2 linked regions of the Macaca fascicularis genome follow. The protein of the gene in region 2 purifies or fractionates together with the protein of the main gene of each other region. This does not show direct contact. Links are inferred from orthologs where the notes say so. Each region holds a gene or a part of one and is shown on either strand. Other genes may lie near its edges.

Region 1 (4,305 bases), on a different chromosome or scaffold from region 2:
GAGGTAGGAGAATTACTTCAATCCGGGAGGCAGAGGTTGGGGTGAGCCGAGATCTAGCCACTGCACTCCAGCCTGGGTGACAGAGCAAGACTCCGTCCCTCCCAAAAAAAAAAAAAAAAAAAAAAAAAAAGAATACACACACAAAAGGCTAAACAGGCTTCCAAAGAAGGGAGTCGAGAATAAGATGTGTGACTTGCCAGTTATCTGCAAGAAGAAAAAAGATGTGTGAAGCAGTCTTTGAGAGTGGTGCCACACACTGGCCTTCAAGAGCTCCACGTAAAAGGGTTTATTGGGAGTTGTACAGATAGCCTTCTAGTGGCCAGGTGTACGTGGGTCATCCAGACCAAGATGCTATTAATATTTATGTCTGCATCAGTAAAAAACTGGTGTTATTCCAGGCAAACTCACACCTACCATAACCCAAATGTGGGCCATATGAAAAAGCCTGAGTGGCCTCGTATCTTCACTTTACAAGTCAGTCTCCCAGAGCTCAACAGGTATTGGCCTTCAAAGACCTCTTGTTGATTGGAGAAGGCTTTTTTTTTTTTTTTTTTTTTTTTTTAAAGACAGAGTCTCACTCTGTCACCTAGGCTGGAGTGCAATGGTGCCATCTCGGCTCACTGCAACCTCTGCCTCCCGAGTTCAAGTGATTCCCCTGCCTCAGCCTCCTGAGTAGCTGGGATTACAGGCGCCTGCCACCACACCCAGCTAATTTTTCTATTTTTAGTGGCGACGGGAGTTCACCATGTTGCCCAGGCTGGTCTTGAACTCCTGACCTCAGGTGATCTGCCTGGCTCAGCCTCCCAAAGTTCAGATTACAGGCGTGAGCCAGCATGCCCGGCCCAGGGAGGGCTTTTTTTTTTTTTTTTGGCGGGGGGCTGGGGGATCAGGTATAGAAACAGCTTGAGTGGTCTTATGTCCTGGTTTGTGAACTGGCCTCATCACCTGGAACAGCTTTCGGGGGAAGATCAAGCGTGGGTTGCACAAAACAGCTTTTGAGTGGACTTGATTCAGCCCCTAAATGCTCCTTAAAGTCTTGTCTGCTGGTGTATGAAATGACCTTGCAAAGGTCAGAATATAGGCTGTCATGTCCTAACCTCTCAGAGTGGTTTTTCTCCTGGATTTATAAACAAGACTAAGATGAATCTTATAAAAGGCTTCTTGTTGGCCGTATTAAACAAAAAGGAGCCACGTATAGCCTGTATATAACAGTCTGAAGACTCGGGCCTGGACTTTATAAATTCAGCATCCAGACAGAATTCACTATGCACACTAGCAAAGTGGGTTCCTGGTAGGTTACGGGATATATCCCTCTTGGAAACCACTGCCCTGCCATCCCAGGATTCTTTCAAATTATTTTTATTTTTTTTGAGACGGAGTCCCCTCTCACCCTGGCTGGAATGCAGTGCCCCAATCTCGGCTCACTGCAACCTCTGCTTCCTAGGTTCAAGCAATTCTCCTGCCTCGGCCGCCCGAGTAGCTGGGATTACAGGTGTGCACCACCACACTCAGCTAATTTTTGTATTTTTAGTGGAGACGGGGTTGCGCCATGTTGGCTAGGCTGGTCTCGTGAACTCCTGACCTGAAGTGACCGGCCTGTCTCGGCCTCCCAAAGGGTTGGGATTACAGGCATGAGCCACCGCGCCCAGCCTTAAATTATTTTTAAACATCAACTCCTCTAAAGCACCTCCCTGAGTATTCTTTAAGGTGGCTGGGTGGAACGGCCTCTCCGAGAGCCTCACTGTGATTTGCAGAGGGTCTCAGGGTGGGCACTCTGCGAGCACCATGCTGGTCATGAGAAAGCCTCTCAAAGGGGGCTTCCAGGACAGGTCAGCCTACATCGGGCTTTCTTGGAACAGGCAATCCAGTTCTCTAATCTCTTCAATGTTATTATGGCAGTATTCCACAAAACTTGTGCAAAAACAAGAGCTTTGTAAAACTTCCCAGAGAAGTTTGGAATTTTCCAGAGAGCTTTATTCATGGCACAAGGATCCCTTTGGCTCACGAAGGGGCACACAGTCTTGTGTTTGGGTCATCCGTGTGGCCCCAACGCCCGCGCACCTCCTGACCCCGGGCTTGCTCCCGTGTCCTCCCGAGCACGGCGATTCTTACCGTTGCTGGGAAACGCACCGATGCCCATCGTTAAGTCTTACCGAGCTACAAGCACCTTTCCTTAGGGCAGCCACACACCCAGGCCCTACAGGGTCCCACGTACCCCGCATTAGCCTTGAGCCCCCCGAGGCCTCAGACCCCCTTTCCTCCTCAGCGCCTTTCCCGGAGCTACATTTCTCGCGGCTCTTATCTGGGACCTGACGGCTGAATCGTTCCCAGCCGGCCTTGCAGCCCAGAGGCAGCGGCTGATTGCCCAAAACCAGCGAACACACACACACCAGAGCATACAATCCGCGCAGGCGCACTAGGGCTACACCGACTAGACGCCTAGAACCGCGAAAGCGCACAGCAGCCGGCCTTAAGGGCCTGCCCTCACGCATGCGCCAAACCACTGCCAGAAGACGAGCACTACGCACGCGCAGAGCCTTTCCCTCGCTCCAGCAGCGCAGGCCGGCTCAGAGCGCATGCGCCGACTCGAGCAAGCCTCGGGCTTTCCAAGGCGCACGCGCGAGGCCGGGCTTGGCTGCTTCACATGACGCCTGCGCGGTCTATGCCTCTGAACCCGGCCTCTCCACTTCTGAGGAACTGGAGCTGACTCCGCTCTCGAGTTGCTCAGACTAACCTCTCTTCAGCTGGGACGGTGTCGAGTCGCCTTTGGGCTGGCGACTACTCGTTGCTTTTGGTCCGACGACGCGGCTGTCTCCCCCCAGGAGTCAGACGCTAGCATAGGAGTATCGATCGCTCACCGCTCGTCTGATCACGACGCAGTGCCTAGAGGAGTGCCGAGTGATCGATGCCGTGGCCCCGCCCCACTCGCGTTTAAAAGACCAGGGGATGGACAAGACAGAGAAAGGCTGGGCTGTATCCTCCGGGTCCTTCCATGCCAGTGACACCCGCTTTTTCCTCTGCACAGATAACAACTTCGTACAAGGCTGTTTGCATCCACCATTTAATCCCTGCAGCTAGGATTATTAGTTCTCCCTATTTTACAGAGAGCGAAACTGAAGCTCAGTGATTAAAGTGGCCACATACTTGTACTTTTGGAAAGTCAGATCCACAATTACCCACGAGCAAGTGCTACATCCACAGTCTGTTCGAGTGAGAAGGCAAGTGGCCAGAGGACACACTCCTGCCACGTTTGCTTTGATGTCGAGTGGTGCGGGGTCACTGGGACTTTGTGTTTTGAGCACACTCTCCTATGGACTCCGCCTTTTGCAGCATTGCACAGAGGCATGGAAAGTTATGTTCATACTGAGCTTGGGGTCTGAGTAGGAAACAGGCTTGCTCAAGATCAGTTCATAGATTAGTGGATTCTAGGTACTGTGCTTTAAAAATATTAAGATTGTAGCTATTGTAATGATCATGATCGTCCCTATTTGAGGGAGTATGTTAATCCACTTTCACGCTGCTGATACAAAGACATACCTGAAACTGGGCAATTTACAAAGAAAAAGGGGTTTAATGGATTCACAGTTCCACATGGCTGGGGAGGCCTCACAATCATGGTGGAAGGTGAAAGGCACGTCTGACATGGCGGAACACAAGAGAAGATGAGAACCAAGTGAAAAGGGAAACTGTCAGTCCTCTGAGCCCAAGCCTGCGTGTATACATCCAGATGGTCTGAAGTAACTAAAGAATCACAAAAGAAGTGAAAATGACCTGTTCCTGTCTTAACTGATGACATTACCTCGTGAAATTCCTTCTGCTGGCTCAGAAGCTCCCCCACTGAGCACCTTGTGACCCCCACCCCTGCCGGCCAGAGAACTACCCCCTTTGACTATAATTTTCCATTACCTATCCAAATCCTATAAAATGGCCCCACCCCATCTCCTTTCACTGACTCTCTTTTTGTACTCAGTCCACCTGCACGCAGGTGAAATAAACAGCCTTGTTGCTCACACAAAGCCTGTTTGGTGGTCTCTTCACACGGACATGTGTGAAATTTGGTGCCGAAGACCCGGGTCAGAAGGACTCCTTCGGGAGACTGGTCCCCCGTCCTCTCCTCTGTGAGGAGATCCACCTACGACCTCAGGTCCTCAGACCAACCAGTCCAAGGAACATCTCACCAATTTCACTCTCTTCTCCAGCCTTTCTTGCTACCCTTCAATCTCCCTCTCTTGCTACCCTTCAATCTCCCTGTCCTTCCGATTCCAGTTCTTTTTCCTCTCTAGTAAAGGCAAAGGAGACACATTC
Region 2 (3,597 bases):
AAAGGTCACTCCTTTTTATTGCATATCAATATTCATTCCACTGTATGAATTTGCCACAGTTTGTCCACTTACCTGCTGATGGGTATTTGGTTGTTTCCAGCTTTTGGCTGTTGCAGGTAGCTGCTATGAACATTTACATCTAAGTCTTTGTATGGATGTCTGCTTTCGTTTCTTTTGGGTAGAGACACCTGAGAGTAGAATGGCTGGGTCGTATGCTAGATGTCTTGTGCCACAGTGGTTGTACCATTTTACATTTCCATTTGCTGGATATCAATAGGCTTTGAAAATTTTCCACAGGTTTCTTCAAACCTATGCAGTATTAGACACAGCAGGCCCTTCACCATGTAAACCCATCTTCCCTGGACTGCCTCCAATAGTCATTTCTCTGTAGGGTAGAGACGGGTTGCTGGAAATGCTGAGGATGTTACTGCACATAAGTAACCCGTGTGTTCTCTCTAGCTGAACACTACCACCATGTCCAATGCTACGGCCAATAGTAGCATTCGGCCTATCTTTGGAGGGACAATCTACCACTCCCCTGTGTCTCGACTTCCTCCTTCTGGCAGCAAGGTTAGTATGCCCTGTGTCTAAGCACATCCTCACATGCATCCCTAGCCTGTTCACCCAGAGGCCCCACCTACTTGTTCTGGATTCTAAGATCCCTGGATTTGGTTCTTACTTTTTTTGTTGTTGTTTTTTTTTTGGGTTTTTTTGTTTGTTTGTTTTGTTTTTTTTTTTTTGTTTTTTGAGACGGAGTCTCGCTCTGTCGCCCAGGCTGGAGTGCAGTGGCGCGATCTCGGCTCGCTGCAAGCTCCGCCTCCTGGGTTTACGCCATTCTCCTGCCTCAGCCTCCTGAGTAGCTGGGACTACAGGCGCCCGCCACCGCGCCCGGCTAATTTTTTGTATTTTTAGTAGAGACGGGGTTTCACCGTGGTCTCGATCTCCTGACCTTGTGATCCGCCCGCCTCGGCCTCCCAAAGTGCTGGGATTACAGGCGTGAGCCACCGCGCCCGGCCTGGTTCTTACTTACATGCTGAGAGTTGACAGATATAAGCTAGCTCACCATTAAATAATGGTCCAAAATTAATGTGCAAAAAAAGAGAACAGTCACTCTGAGCCCCACTGGTATCATGAGAAGCACTGGGATGTCTGGGAAACTGAAGATCAGGCAGGGTCACTGTGGACTCAATTCCAAGCCCAGTCTTCAGCTGGTATGGAGCTAGGTCCCCTACATGTGGGTTCCAGCCCAGTGAAACCAGATCACTAGACATGCCAAGTACTCAGTAGAGATGTTGAAAAGTATGTGGTAAAGCACAGTCTTTCAAATATTTTATTAGACTATGCACAAGATAGGTGTTCTGTAAATCAAGAATTCATATTTTAAAAAATTTTTTTCTAGAGATGGGGTTCTGTTATGTTTCCCAGGCTGGTCTTGAACATGTGGCCTCAAGCAATCCTCCTGCCTTGGCCTCCCAAAGTGTTGGGATTATAGGCGTGAGCCACACCCAGCCCCATATATATATTTTTTTTAACTAAAAAGTATAGGATTCTAGACATGAATATAAAGATAGTCTCAGCCGTTGACCAGTGCAGGTATTGTGTGTGCACGTTCATTAGAAGGAGGATACATGGATCTCTTTCCTTTCTCTGCAGCCAGTTGCTGCTTCCACCTGTTCAGGGAAGAAAACACCCCGTACTGGCAGGCATGGAGCCAACAAGGAGAACCTGGAGCTCAACGGCAGCATCCTGAGTGGTGGGTACCCTGGCTCGGCCCCCCTCCAGCGCAACTTCAGCATTAATTCTGTTGCCAGCACCTATTCTGAGTTTGCGGTAATTCACCTTTTCTAATATCTACCAGTCTCTGGGGAGCACACAGTTGGGGCAGAGTGGGTATCTTCCCAGGGGCACCCAGGCTGTTAGCTAGGGCAGCTACCTTGGAGGCTGAGAATCCCTTTCCTGCTTTGACCATGGCGGGGTGGGTGTGATTTAAGGGGGGGTTGTATAGGAAGGAAGTTGGCAGCAGCAACTAGACATTGAACCTGGATCCTTCTGCTTAATATATACCATTCCCTGGCTGCGGGAGGCAACCCCTCTATCACTGCCCTGGTGCTCTCTTGGTGGAGTTCTTGGTAATTGTCTCAATTCTTTGTTCTTAGAAGGATCCGTCCCTCTCTGACAGTTCCACTGTTGGGCTTCAGGTCTGTATGGCAACCCCTGCACGTCCCATGTCCCTTTTCCAAACTGATCTGTCATCTGCTGGCTTCATTCATCTGGGCACAGGGCTACACTAACCAATAATCTCGGCAGTGTTACAAAGGAAGCAGGAATTCCTATCATGGACTCAAAAAAAACACATCTGATTTACATTCACAACAGATTAATAAGAAAATTTGTTCAGACTTGAATTGGATTCTCAGCCCCTAAAGTCAGGCAGTTTTAAATCGTGTTTTAACAGAAAACCTTGACCCTCCCCAATTGTGACATCAAAGGCCTGCAGTAGCTGGAAAGAATAGAGGCCCCATCACATGGGGAAGGGAGCCCCAGCTGTGTGCTGCCTACAATGAGGCTCTTGGCCTGTGTGCTGATTATTTCCTGGAGTATATGCCTTCCTAACCTCAGGGCTCAACTGCCAGCTCTGTCTATTCTCAGCTAGCTAATGCCGATTTCCTCACCTTTGCCTCTTTCCATACACTGAGCTACTGAAGCATAGATGAAGCATTGGAAGCAAGTTTTTCCAGAATGCTCTTCACTTCCTAGTATCCTACTCTATATCTGCTAACACCTAATTACACTGCCTTTTACTTAATCTATCTTCTCTTCTCTCAATATTTTACTAGCAAGAGGTGAGGATGTCCCTCACCCTTGAGGGGATGTTGAGTTAAACCCCTAGCCTGCCTCCCCTCTTAATTGCTGCAGGGATGGAGAATGGAACAGTTGGCCAAGGCTGCAGCTAATTTTAATCACTGAAACTGGCTTCCTACTCCAGCAAGTTTTTCAAATTACATGGCTGGTGGTGCTTCTACCTATAAAAGTGGGTGTGTGTCACTCTGGCTGACTGCTGGACAGAGGTCCAGCTTTCTCTTTTTTGCTTGTTCAACCAAGGCCCATTTTATCTAGTTGAGGCTTAAATGTACCTGCCTATCTCTGTGGCTAGTCCTAGGTAGGTTCATCTGGTTTGAGTTGGTAAGGCTGATAGACTCCACCAGGCAGCACCAAAGCCGGTAAACTAACCTCTGCTAATATCTGTCTTTCTCAATGGCCATTCATGCTTTATCTTTTGCTGCTATACCATGTGCTCCAGCATGAGATCAAATCACCAGCAGGTTACAAGGCCTCAGCCCCAGGGATTGGTAGATGTATGTTCTGGCCCATTGTTTTATAGAGGGCTTCAGGAGACCAAAGCTTGTTGCCTACTTGACGACTCTAAAGTAGCTTTGTGAAGTAGAGTCATGCCTCACTTAATGACAGGGATATGTTCTGAGAATGTGTGGGGCAATTTCATTGTGCACATATCAGTGTGTACTTAACAGTCCTAGACAGTACAGCCTACACACCTAAGCTATATGGTATGGCGTTTTCCTCCTAGGCTACAAACCT

The links. The genes of interacting proteins can lie anywhere in the genome.
Region 1: the proteins of RCCD1 (region 2) and KDM8 purify together in Homo sapiens (co-immunoprecipitation; 3 studies listed by BioGRID and IntAct, counting the BioPlex papers as one, with this or other methods). This does not show direct contact. The link is inferred for Macaca fascicularis from reciprocal best matches to the Homo sapiens genes RCCD1 and KDM8.

Annotation. Positions count from the first base shown.
Region 1 is NC_088394.1:26,283,385-26,287,689, reverse strand, and holds the start of KDM8 (bifunctional peptidase and arginyl-hydroxylase JMJD5), read right to left. Parts: upstream 2,877-4,305; 5' UTR 2,735-2,876; intron 2,408-2,734; exon of another isoform or gene 2,216-2,407; intron 1-2,215. UniProt on the Homo sapiens protein: Bifunctional enzyme that acts both as an endopeptidase and 2-oxoglutarate-dependent monooxygenase.
Region 2 is NC_088381.1:75,521,426-75,525,022, reverse strand, and holds part of RCCD1 (RCC1 domain-containing protein 1), read right to left. Parts: intron 2,199-3,597; coding exon of another isoform or gene 2,157-2,198; intron 1,831-2,156; coding exon of another isoform or gene 1,654-1,830; intron 571-1,653; coding exon of another isoform or gene 460-570; intron 386-459; coding exon of another isoform or gene 384-385; exon of another isoform or gene 310-383; coding exon 140-309; coding exon of another isoform or gene 124-139; 3' UTR 1-123. Other genes in the region: PRC1 (protein regulator of cytokinesis 1), read left to right, coding at 460-570, 1,654-1,830, 2,157-2,198. UniProt on the Homo sapiens protein: Plays a role in transcriptional repression of satellite repeats, possibly by regulating H3K36 methylation levels in centromeric regions together with KDM8.